Rattus norvegicus: one gene and its partners. The protein of the gene in region 1 interacts with the protein of each later gene in a pairwise test. Links are inferred from orthologs where the notes say so. Each region holds a gene or a part of one and is shown in the gene's direction. Other genes may lie near its edges.

The links.
Region 2: the proteins of Sall2 (region 1) and Zmiz2 interact in binary tests that used the Homo sapiens proteins (3 or more experiments, as listed by UniProt). The two-hybrid records come from large-scale screens. The link is inferred for Rattus norvegicus from reciprocal best matches to the Homo sapiens genes SALL2 and ZMIZ2.
Region 3: the proteins of Sall2 (region 1) and Cep76 interact in binary tests that used the Homo sapiens proteins (3 or more experiments, as listed by UniProt). The two-hybrid records come from large-scale screens. The link is inferred for Rattus norvegicus from reciprocal best matches to the Homo sapiens genes SALL2 and CEP76.

Annotation. Positions count from the first base shown.
Region 1 is NC_086033.1:27,495,401-27,499,045, reverse strand, and holds part of Sall2 (sal-like protein 2), read left to right. Parts: coding exon 1-2,639; 3' UTR 2,640-3,645. UniProt on the Homo sapiens protein: Probable transcription factor that plays a role in eye development before, during, and after optic fissure closure.
Region 2 is NC_086032.1:85,475,341-85,478,979, forward strand, and holds part of Zmiz2 (zinc finger MIZ domain-containing protein 2), read left to right. Parts: intron 1-104; coding exon 105-249; intron 250-323; coding exon 324-534; intron 535-1,183; coding exon 1,184-1,289; intron 1,290-1,505; coding exon 1,506-1,663; intron 1,664-2,790; coding exon 2,791-2,858; intron 2,859-3,183; coding exon 3,184-3,252; intron 3,253-3,506; coding exon 3,507-3,639. UniProt on the Homo sapiens protein: Increases ligand-dependent transcriptional activity of AR and other nuclear hormone receptors.
Region 3 is NC_086036.1:63,475,529-63,479,680, reverse strand, and holds the start of Cep76 (centrosomal protein of 76 kDa), read left to right. Parts: upstream 1-1,322; 5' UTR 1,323-1,483; coding exon 1,484-1,546; intron 1,547-1,950; exon of another isoform or gene 1,951-2,076; intron 2,077-2,547; coding exon 2,548-2,703; intron 2,704-3,758; exon of another isoform or gene 3,759-3,981; coding exon of another isoform or gene 3,982-4,014; intron 4,015-4,152. Other genes in the region: Psmg2 (proteasome assembly chaperone 2), read right to left, coding at 935-991. UniProt on the Homo sapiens protein: Centrosomal protein involved in regulation of centriole duplication. Required to limit centriole duplication to once per cell cycle by preventing centriole reduplication.

The DNA of each region.
Region 1 (3,645 bases):
TGGTCGCTGGCACAGGTACAGCAGCCGGGGGAGGTGGGGGCCTGATCTTGGCCAGTCCCAAGCTGGGAGCAACCCCATTACCTCCAGAATCTACCCCTGCACCCCCTCCTCCACCACCTCCACCTCCACCTCCAGGTGTAGGCAGTGGCCACCTGAACATTCCTCTCATCTTGGAAGAGCTGCGGGTGCTGCAGCAGCGCCAGATTCATCAGATGCAGATGACTGAGCAAATCTGCCGCCAGGTGCTGCTACTTGGCTCCTTAGGACAGACAGTGGGCGCCCCTGCCAGTCCCTCAGAGCTACCTGGGACAGGCACTGCCTCTTCCACCAAGCCCCTACTGCCTCTCTTCAGTCCCATCAAGCCTGCCCAAACTGGCAAGACACTGGCATCTTCCTCCTCGTCGTCCTCCTCCTCAGGGGCAGAACCACCTAAGCAGGCTTTCTTCCACCTTTACCATCCACTGGGATCCCAGCATCCCTTCTCTGTAGGAGGGGTTGGGCGAAGCCACAAACCTACCCCTGCCCCCTCCCCTGCTCTGCCAGGCAGCACGGATCAGCTGATTGCCTCACCTCATCTGGCATTCCCGGGCACCACAGGACTCCTGGCAGCTCAGTGTCTTGGGGCAGCAAGGGGCCTTGAAGCTGCAGCCTCTCCAGGGCTCCTGAAGCCAAAGAACGGAAGCGGTGAGCTGGGCTATGGGGAAGTGATCAGTTCCTTGGAGAAGCCCGGTGGAAGGCACAAATGCCGCTTTTGTGCCAAAGTATTCGGCAGTGACAGCGCCCTGCAGATCCACCTTCGTTCCCACACTGGTGAGAGGCCCTATAAGTGCAATGTCTGCGGTAACCGTTTCACTACTCGGGGCAACCTCAAAGTACATTTCCACCGGCATCGTGAGAAGTACCCACATGTGCAAATGAATCCACATCCGGTACCAGAGCACCTAGACTACGTCATCACCAGCAGTGGGCTGCCTTATGGAATGTCGGTGCCACCAGAGAAAGCAGAGGAGGAGGCAGCCACACCGGGCGGAGGTGTTGAACGCAAACCTCTAGTGGCCTCCACCACAGCGCTCAGTGCCACAGAGAGCCTGACGCTGCTCTCCACTGGTACAAGCACAGCAGTGGCTCCTGGGCTCCCTACTTTCAACAAGTTTGTGCTCATGAAAGCAGTGGAGCCCAAGAGTAAAGTGGATGAGAATACTCCCCCGGGGAGTGAGGGCTCAGCCATCTCAGGAGTAGCGGACAGCGGCTCAGCCACCCGAATGCAGCTAAGTAAGCTGGTGACATCGCTACCGAGTTGGGCGCTGCTTACTAATCACTTGAAGTCAACTGGAAGTTTCCCCTTCCCTTATGTGCTAGAACCCTTGGGGGCTTCGCCTTCTGAGACCTCAAAGCTGCAGCAGCTGGTAGAAAAGATCGACCGCCAAGGAGCTGTGGCAGTGGCGTCTACTGCCTCGGGAGCTCCCACTACTTCTGCCCCCGCACCTTCATCCTCCGCTTCTGGACCTAACCAGTGTGTCATCTGTCTCCGGGTGCTGAGCTGCCCTCGGGCTCTACGCCTGCATTATGGCCAACATGGAGGTGAGCGGCCCTTCAAATGTAAAGTGTGTGGCAGAGCTTTCTCCACAAGGGGCAATTTGCGCGCACATTTCGTGGGTCACAAGACCAGTCCAGCTGCCCGGGCCCAGAACTCCTGCCCCATTTGCCAGAAGAAGTTCACTAATGCTGTCACTCTGCAACAACACGTTCGGATGCACCTGGGGGGCCAGATCCCCAACGGGGGTTCCACACTTCCTGAAGGTGGGGGAGTTGCCCAGGAAAACAGCTCTGAGCAGTCTACAGCCTCTGGACCAGGAAGTTTCCCCCAGCCGCAGGCCCAGCAGCCATCTGCAGAAGAGGAGATATCTGAGGAAGAAGAAGAGGATGAGGAAGAAGAGGAAGATGTGACAGATGAAGATTCCCTAGCAGGAAGAGGCTCAGAGAGTGGGGGAGAGAAGGCCATATCAGTACGAGGTGACTCAGAAGAGGTATCTGGGGCAGAGGAGGAAGCGGCAACATCGGGAGCAGCACCCACCAACGGGAAGGAGGTAGATAATAACGAGAAAGCCACTCAACAGGCTCTGCCGCCACCTCCACCACCACCCGACAACCTGGATCGTCCCCAGCCCATGGAGCAAGGACCCAGTGATGTTTCCGGAGGCATGGAGGAAGAGGCCAAACTGGAGGGAACCTCAAGCCCGATGGCGGCACTCCCGCAAGAAGGGGAGGGCACCAGCACCCCTTCGGTGGAAGAGCTGAACTTACCAGAAGCCATGAAAAAGGAGCCAGGAGAGAGCAGCAGCAGAAAGGCCTGTGAAGTTTGTGGCCAGAGCTTTCCCACCCAAACAGCTCTGGAGGAGCATCAGAAGACCCACCCCAAGGATGGGCCGCTCTTCACTTGTGTCTTCTGCAGGCAGGGCTTCCTCGACCGTGCCACCCTCAAGAAACACATGCTGTTGGCTCACCACCAGGTACCGCCCTTTGCACCCCACGGCCCTCAGAATATTGCTACTCTTTCATTGGTCCCTGGCTGTTCCTCCTCCATCCCTTCTCCAGGGCTCTCCCCATTCCCTCGAAAAGACGACCCCGCCATCCCGTGAGCCTGTGTTCTGTACCTGATCCTCTATGACCGCGAGATCAGAAACCAAGAGCTCCATAGAAGGACCTCCAAGATTTAGTCACCCTTCTCTTGTCTTTTCTCAAGTTCTGACATGATGTTTCTTCTAGTGGCTTCTCTCTAGTCCCTGAGCTTGACAATTGCATTTGAAAGGGAATGTCCCCTAAGAAATTTTTATCACCTTTTTGTTCTATATAACTTTTACATTCTCAAGGGGGAGCTCTCTCCTCTTCCCCCTTTCCCTCCGGCAGGTATCCTAGAACCCCCATCTTTGGCATGGCAGCCTTGTTCAAAGGGGCTGGCAACTGTCCATGGAAGGCCCAGCTCTATTCCTTAGTGATCTTGACCAAGACACCCTGCAAGACTTTCTTGGGCCAGGACCTTCTTGAAAAGCTTGTGAGGAGTGGTAGGTAGGTTTCTTTCTGCAACCACTACATAGTTTCCCACTGAGCCCTGGAGTTCTAGATCGACCTGCCTTGCCACTTGAGCCCTAGCACCATCATTGCTGTGAAAGCCCAGGAACTGTGCTTGATAAGGTGACTCCAAGGACCTGATCCGAGAGGCAGAGACTCCAAGGACCTGATCCGAGAGGCAGAGGAGAACGTAGCCTCCGTCCTACTTCAGCCGCCTGTAGCTGAGGCTGTGCCCAACAAGCACACCAGAGGAAAGAAGTAACTGTAACTTCTTCTTCCCCCTGCTCCAGAGGATACTGGCAATGAAGATACTCCAGTAGTTGGTGGCTCACCCTAATCGGTAGGGACTCGCAAAGGACTGGGATCCCTTTTTCAGTATGTTCCTCGACTCACCACATTAAGGCAAAGAGAGTGGCTGGTCAAGATGCCAAGACTCCCTCAGCTTCTCACTTATCAAGGCCTCTCAACCAACAAGCATATTCCTTACCAAGAGGCCTCTCGTGTGATATTTTAGGAAGCATAAAGTTCCTGACTCTAAAGAGCCTCGTTGGTAAGGCAGTTTATTTAAGTGATGGT
Region 2 (3,639 bases), on another chromosome or scaffold:
TTTGTAGGGGTTTCTCATCCTCTACAGTTTCTGGCTGGGGTTGAGTTAGGATTTGTGGCTCTGGCAAGGTACCAGACTCATGGCCTGCATACCTCTGCCCTCAGGAAGCGTCCCCTGTGACGAGCTGCGCCTGACCTTCCCAGTTCGGGATGGGGTGGTCCTGGAGCCCTTCCGCCTGCAGCACAACCTGGCTGTGAGCAACCATGTCTTCCAGCTCCGAGACTCTGTGTATAAAACCCTGATGCTGAGGTCAGTCTCACTACCGTCCTGCCCCTGGGCCGTGGCTGCACAGTGCGGGCTGCCATCGTCTTCTTCCCTCCTAGACCTGACTTAGAGCTGCAGTTCAAGTGCTACCACCACGAGGACCGGCAGATGAACACCAACTGGCCGGCCTCGGTGCAGGTCAGCGTCAATGCCACACCCCTCAGCATCGAGCGTGGAGACAACAAGACCTCGCACAAGCCCCTCTACCTGAAGCATGTGTGCCAGCCGGGTCGCAACACCATCCAGATCACCGTCACCGCCTGCTGCTGCGTGAGTGGCCTGTGACGCTGTGGGCAGGGGTCTGGCAGGGGCCAGCTGACACCCCCGGATTATCATCTCCTATGGGGTTGGGAGCCTGTGGGTGACGGTCTTTATCCGTGAGAAACAAGATATTGCTTTTCTTCCTACTTTACTTAAGAAAAGGGAAAATGTACCCTCTGTTACATTAAAAAGATTAATGCTTCTGTTAATTGTGTCAAAGAAACCAAGAAAGCTCATGGAAGATGTTCCGCCTGCACTGGTCTGGGCCTCACCAGGTTCCAGTGGGCAGGATCCCAAGTAGACCTTGAGCTACCAGGAGCCATGCTGGTTGAGGGGGCATGGAGAGAGGGGGGCTCAGAGCCACATCATGCCAGGAGTTCCAGGAACTTGAGGTGATTGTGCTTTGACAGAAAACTAGCAGTGGTTGAGGAATATTAGAGTGCTCTGTGGAGACTGAGATAGTGTGGTGACAAAATAGAAAAGCCTTGCCCATGTGTCAACACTCAGGAGGGCCTGGCCGCCAGGAAGGTGGCTGGCTTGGCTTTCTTCCACACCACACTCCTCCCTCTGTGCCTGGCACCCCTTGAATGAACTCCTAGACATGTCCTCTGAAGCATGCCCACTCACTCTTCATGTAACATTCCTTATTTTCTTGCAGTCCCACCTCTTCGTGCTGCAGCTGGTGCACCGTCCGTCTGTCCGCTCTGTGCTGCAGGGTCTCCTCAAGAAGCGCCTCTTGCCAGCTGAGCACTGCATCACCAAGAGTGAGTGCTGCTTTCTATTCCTCAGCCTCCTGTGCTGTGCCCAGGCTGAACCCTGCCTTGTGGCCCAGAGGCCATTTCCGCTCAGACTGGTGGTTCTTCCCCAGGGGCACTGGGTACCTCCAGGCTACTCCTAGGAGCCTTTGAGCAGTGACTGGGTCCCTGGTTAGCTCACGGTGCTGGGGACCTTTACTCAAGTGCTTTCCCTGTCAATGTCAGTAAAGCGGAACTTCAGTAGCGGCACCATCCCTGGCACCCCTGGGCCCAATGGAGAGGATGGGGTGGAGCAGACGGCTATCAAGGTGTCCCTGAAGTGCCCCATCACCTTCCGCAGGATCCAGCTCCCAGCTCGTGGTCACGACTGTCGCCACATACAGGTATGTGGTCCCTATAGACATTTGTTGAAATTTGTTGTCCTTAAGATATCTTGAGCTTGTGGAGAAACCAGAAAGGTGCTTCCGTATTTACTGGAATCTAGGTGCAAACTGAGAAAACTGCTTAGTAATATTAAGAAGAAAGAACAGTGGGGGAAGGGCATTTGGAGGGATAACCAGGGAGGGGATAGCATTTGAAATGTAAACGAATAAAATAACACAGGACCCCTGGGAGAGGAATACTTCCAGCATTCACCCAGCTGAGACGCACACTAGTACCGGCAGCTGCAGAGCCTGTAAAAGCTTCAGATAAAGGCACATTTACCTGCGGTTCACAGACAGACTCAGCCTGGTGTGGATCTGCACCTGTAATCCCAGGTCTCAGGGCCTGAGGCACTGGGATCTTAGGTGGAAAGCCAGTCTGGGATACATAATGACAATCTGTCTCAGGTGTCTTTTTCCCCTTGAGATGGGACCTCAGGTATCCCAGGCTGACCTCAGGCTCACCATGTAGCTGGGATGAACCTGAATTCCTTCCTAATCATCTTGCCTCAGGCTCCCACACTCTGAGATGGCAGGCAGACACTCAATTCTCAACCTCATCCTCTTTGTCGGGTGGGACACCAGTATCTCAGCTGGCAGAGATAACCTAAAAGACAGACCCACCATAGGGGCCTGGCCTCCTTGCTCACTCCCCAGCCCCCGAGATGCGTTTTGCTCCTTTGAAACATAATCACAGTTTCCCCTACATATGTGCATCTGTCTGTTTGTCTGTTTGTTTGTTTGTGACATGTAGCTCCAGCTGTCCTGGAATAATCCTTTGTAGACCAGGCTGGCCTCAAACACAGAGGTCTACCTGCCTATGCCTCCCGAACACTGGGATTAAAGGCGTGTAACACCCAGCCTGTCCTGGGTGAAGAGGTTCCTTATGCATAGTGCTTTGGTTCTAGGGCAACACAGTGCTGGGGAAGGTTGCTTGGGGTATCCCAAGCTGGGTCTGTTAAAGGCAATGCTGTGGTAGAAACCCCATACCTTAAATACCAACCTAAAGAAGTCATACTTTTCTGAAGACTGTCTAACAACCCTGTCCACTGAGGTGGTGAGAATGGCCTCTCTCCCTGTCTCTGCAGTGCTTTGACCTGGAGTCATACTTACAGCTTAACTGTGAGCGGGGGACCTGGAGGTGTCCGGTGTGCAAGTAAGTCAGTCTGGTTAGACCTGTGGCTTCCTCAGAGGGTGAAACACAAAATAGCATCAAGAAGGGCTCCCTAAGCCTGAGCAGACCATCTCAGGGCAGAAAGTGCCTACTAGGTGGCCTTGCACAGCACCTCTCACACTGAACTACCATAGTGGTTTATCCAGGGTCACCTCGCATAGGGGCCGGTCACCTGACACATGCCATGAACAGTTGCACACAGGGGCCCTTACAGAGTCACCTCACAGAGGTAATAGAGCTGGAAAAGTGATAGGGTCTACACCCCACTAGGCTCGGCTCCCTAAACAGTGTCCTTTGCTTTCTACAGCAAGACGGCATTGCTGGAGGGCCTGGAGGTGGATCAGTATATGCTAGGCATCCTGATTTATATTCAGAAGTAAGTGTCTTCCTCCTGCTACCCCTCATCTGTGGCCACCAGAGGGCAGTCCTGGAGTAAGTGCAATCTTCGGAGCCTCTTCCAAGGTGAAGCAGCTCCACTCGGCCAGTGCCTGCTGCACATCTGCCAAGTGCCCTGCAGGCTTCTGGGTGCAAGAGTGAGCAGAAGGCCTGGTTGAAACCTCCTGACAGCTGAGTAGGGCAGCAGGTGCTAGGCGTGTGGCAAATGACCAGTACCCATCTGTCCCTGCTTAGCTCAGACTACGAGGAGATCACCATCGACCCCACATGCAGCTGGAAACCAGTGCCTGTGAAGCCTGACCTACACATCAAGGAGGAGCCGGACGGGCCAGTGCTGAAGCGCTGCCGTACTGTGAGCCCTGCCCAC
Region 3 (4,152 bases), on another chromosome or scaffold:
GGAATATGTGCCTCTGATTTTAGATGTCCATTTTTCAGAAGGGTATCCTAAGCCCATCTTTTTCCTAAAAGATCAAAAGCCCTTGTGTTTCTCCCGTTGACTTTTTAAAATTTAAAAACATTTTAAAATACTGTGTCTGTAAGTACACGCAGTACTTACAGACGTGGGTTCAGATATTCTCTTTGGCCAGAATGGGTGTCAGGGACCCTGGACCTGGAGTTATAAGCCATTCATTGTGAGTATGTAAGAATTCTATCCTCTGTAAGCCACACAGGCTCTAATTACGGAGCCATTTCTTTAGCCCCCTCCCCTCAAGCTTTGTTGTTCTTGTTGATTTGTTTATTTCTTGCGGGGATAGGTGTCTTTCAGGCTGGGGCTTCCTGCCTCACGATTGGAATGCTGGGAATACAATCTTGGTCAAACCACTCCCACCCAGACTTCCGCAGGTCGGTAATCTCAGGTCGTTCTCTTTTTCAAACTTCTGTCTTATTTAATGCTCTTAGTATATGCACGTGTTTCTAGCTATATTGTAAACCTTGATGACTAAACAAGGACAATTCTACTACTGCCTTTTAGACAACGATCTGCTCTCTAATGCAATTGATTGCCTAGATCAACACGGACCCAAACTACATAAAAACACTTCAACGGATAAAACTTAGGGATTCCCCCGGTGCCACTTATGTGCAATGTATCTGCAATGTACAAACGTTACAGTTGCCAGGCAACGAAGGCTTCAGCTAGCAGGCAGGCCTTGATAGAGCGGACAAATGTGCTAATTTGGACCGCCGCCTCTAAGGATAACCAACTTGTTTGTTGGTTTGTTTTTTTCAGGCTTAAAGCCTGAAGCAGAAACACGTGCCCGGCTCTCCTAAGGCCAGGTGGCGCTTCCCGGGTCGGGGTGGCGACAGCGCCAACTCAAGTGGAGACTCACCATCAGGAGTGTGAAGTTCTTTAGGTCGGGGACCGACTCCCCGCAGGGAACGAACATGACTGCAGTGGGCGTAAGAGAAGCTGGAGCGCTGTCCGGGACAGCTAGGATACCTATCCTTAGGATAGAAGGCGGAACTCGCGATCCGCCCGGGTCCTTCGGGTCCTTCGGGTCCTGTAGGCGTCCGACGCACTGCCTGCGCTCAGTGCTGAACGAGGCTCGAACGCTCGGCAGGCGGCGTTCCCCGGGGTCGTAGGTCGAGGCCCTGCGACAGAGGACGTGGGAACCGCGCGTGCGGGACCCGCGAGGAGGCGGCGCGTTGGACCGCGTCGATCAGGCAGCTGGCAGGCCAGCCCCGGCGACTGTCAGTCCGCCCGGTTTGAAGACAGTTAGTTGTGGCGCCGCGGCTGCAGGGTTCCCGCCCTGCCAGGTCTGACGCGGCCGCGGCGCTTTGTGCTACGCCCGCCACCGATGCTGCGCGGCCGGGACGACGGGCTCCGTGGCTGCACCGTGTGAGACGGAGAGTAGCGGCCGGGAGGCGCCAGTGCCGGCATGTCGCTGCCTCCGGAGAAAGCCTCTGAGCTGAAGCAGCTCATCCACCAGCAGCTGAGCAAGGTGAGGAGCTCGGGCGGACGGGACCGGAGCCAGGGCTGTGGAGCGGGCGCCGGCGGGCAAGCTTCGGTTGGGCGTGTGACCCGAGGGAGCGCTGAAGGCTCTTTAGCTAGAGTGGAGGAGAGCCGCTGTAAACCGGAGGCGGTCCGGGCGCTTTCCAGATGTTCATGTACAAGTAGTCCGAGGCCAGATGTTTAGGGTTTCTTTACGCCTGGAAGCCCGATCGCAGTAAGTTATGGGAGACAGGGCGCTCCAATGACTGACAAGGAACGCGTTTACCCGGCTCGGGGCTTTCAGGAGAACCGCGACTTCCCAGCAGCAGCGCCCGACTGCTGGCCGTAAGCTGAAGTAATAAAGCTTCTTTATGGTGTGTTGGTGCGCCGGTGTTTGCGTCTCTAGCGTCTTTTGGCGAATCCTCAAAACAATCTCGCTTTTCCATCGGATGGGCAAGGAGATAGACGGACAAATTAGAGTTGCAAGTTGAATAAGTGAGAAGGCTGAAATAACTCGCTCTTTGTTCTGCCTCCTTCTAGGTCTGTGTTCTTTTGATTGTCCTCCACTCCCTCTCTTAAGAATTGTTTTCATTGAATCATTTGCGGGCAACCAGCAATAAAGGTTGATAACCAACCAGTTCAGATTGTTTCTAGTATGTTGCTCAAAACTTCCACCACTTAAAAAGCTCAATTTTATTGGCATTGGGCACTTGCCATTAGTTTCAGAAGCCTAAAATCTACAAGTGGCGTTTAACTGCTTTATAATGTTGTAAATTGTTTTTGTGCGGTTTTTTTTTGTTGTTGTTGTTGTTGGGTTTTTTGTTTTGTTTTGTTTTTTGAGACAGGGTTTCTTTGTGTAGTTTTTCTGGCTGTCCTGGAACTCTATAGACCAGGTTGGCCTGGAACTCCAGAGATCCACCTGTCTCTGCCTCCCGGGTGCTAGAAATAAAGGCATGCACCATCACCACCAGGTATAATTTTGTAAATTGTAATGTGGGGTTTTCTCCACAGATGGATGTCCATGGCAGAATAAGAGAAATTCTTGCCGAGACTATACGAGAAGAATTAGCACCTGACCAACAACATTTATCAACAGAAGATCTGATCAAAGCTCTCAGACGTCGAGGAATCATTGATGATGTAATGAAAGAGCTTAATTTTGTGACTGTGAGTAATTTCCTAGGTTAAACAAATTGAAAGTGTAAAATATTTGCCTCTGTCTAACAATTTACAGGGTCCACACTTGTGGCTTCTCTTAAAACCACCTTAAGTTCATTCTCTGGTAATAGCCATTTTTCTTAGATTTTTAAGAAGACTTGATGTGTATGGCTGTTTTGGCTACATGCTGGTCTGGTGCCCACAGTGTTCAGGGTGGCCTGTGATCCTCTGGAACTGGAATGAGCCACCATCAAGATATTGGGGGAACTGATCTCAGGTCCTCTGGAAGAGCAAACGAGTGCTCTAAATTGCTGAGTCATCTCTGCCGTCTCCATAATGTTCTGCCCTCTGGTGCTTTTGGTTTTTTTTGAGACAGGTTTTCTCAGTGTAGCTCTGGCTGGCCTGAAACTCATTTTATAGACCAAGGATGGCCTCAAATTCACAGAGATCTCCTGTTGTCTGCCTCCCGAGTGCTGGGACTAAGGCATGTGTCCACAGTCAATGCCTGGCTCCTTTTCTGAGTGTTTAAGTTGGCCCCACCGTGAGTTGGCTAACAGAGATCATAAGATAGGAGTTGTTGGACAGTATTTCTCTGACGTGACAGAAACTTCTGTCAGATGTGTCAGATTCCTTCGATCTCTAATTTATTTAGGTTAGGTCTGTTTTAAAACAGATACACTCATGAAATTCCGTAAGAAAAGAGCTGGCGACATAAAACCCCTCATTTCTCTGTACAAATAGGTCAGTAATGGGATATCTCCCAGTGCACTAAGTAGGCAGGCCTTATTTTGAAAATGAGGCAATAATGAAAAACTGTGACCTCAATATAAGAGTAATATTCTACTAAAAATAGAATGGACTTCATAATACTCCAGAGAGTTGGGTACTTTAATACACTATCCTTTTTTGGGTTTTGAGGTTTGCAAACCTATTTGTTATTAAAAACTGACCTATTAACAGCCTCTGCTGCATAAATGTTACTTTTTAAAAATCAGTTCATGGCGGGCTGGAGAGATGGCTCAGCAATTAAGAGCACTGACTGCCCTTCCAGAGGTCCTGAGTTCAATTCCCAGCAGCCACATGGTGACTCACAACCATCTGTAATGGGATCTGATGCTCTTCTGGCATCACAAGTGTGTCAGAAGACAGCAGCAGTACTCTTATTATGCTGGCTGTCCTAGAGCTCACTGTGTGCCAAGACTGGCCTTAAACTCACAGATCCATCTGCCTCTGCCTCCCAAGTGCTGGAAGTGAAGACATGTGCCACTGTGCTCACACAAATGCTCTATGGGGTTTAAAAGAAGTTTAGCCTTATTTAAGGTATCGATTTGTTTTTTAAAGGCAGGCTTGGCATCCCGTTCCAGCACTCAGGAGGCAGAGATAGGCAGAGCTCTCTGAGTTCAAGGCCAGTCTGGTCTACATGTTTTAGCATTTAGTGAGTGACAAGACTTAAAGACT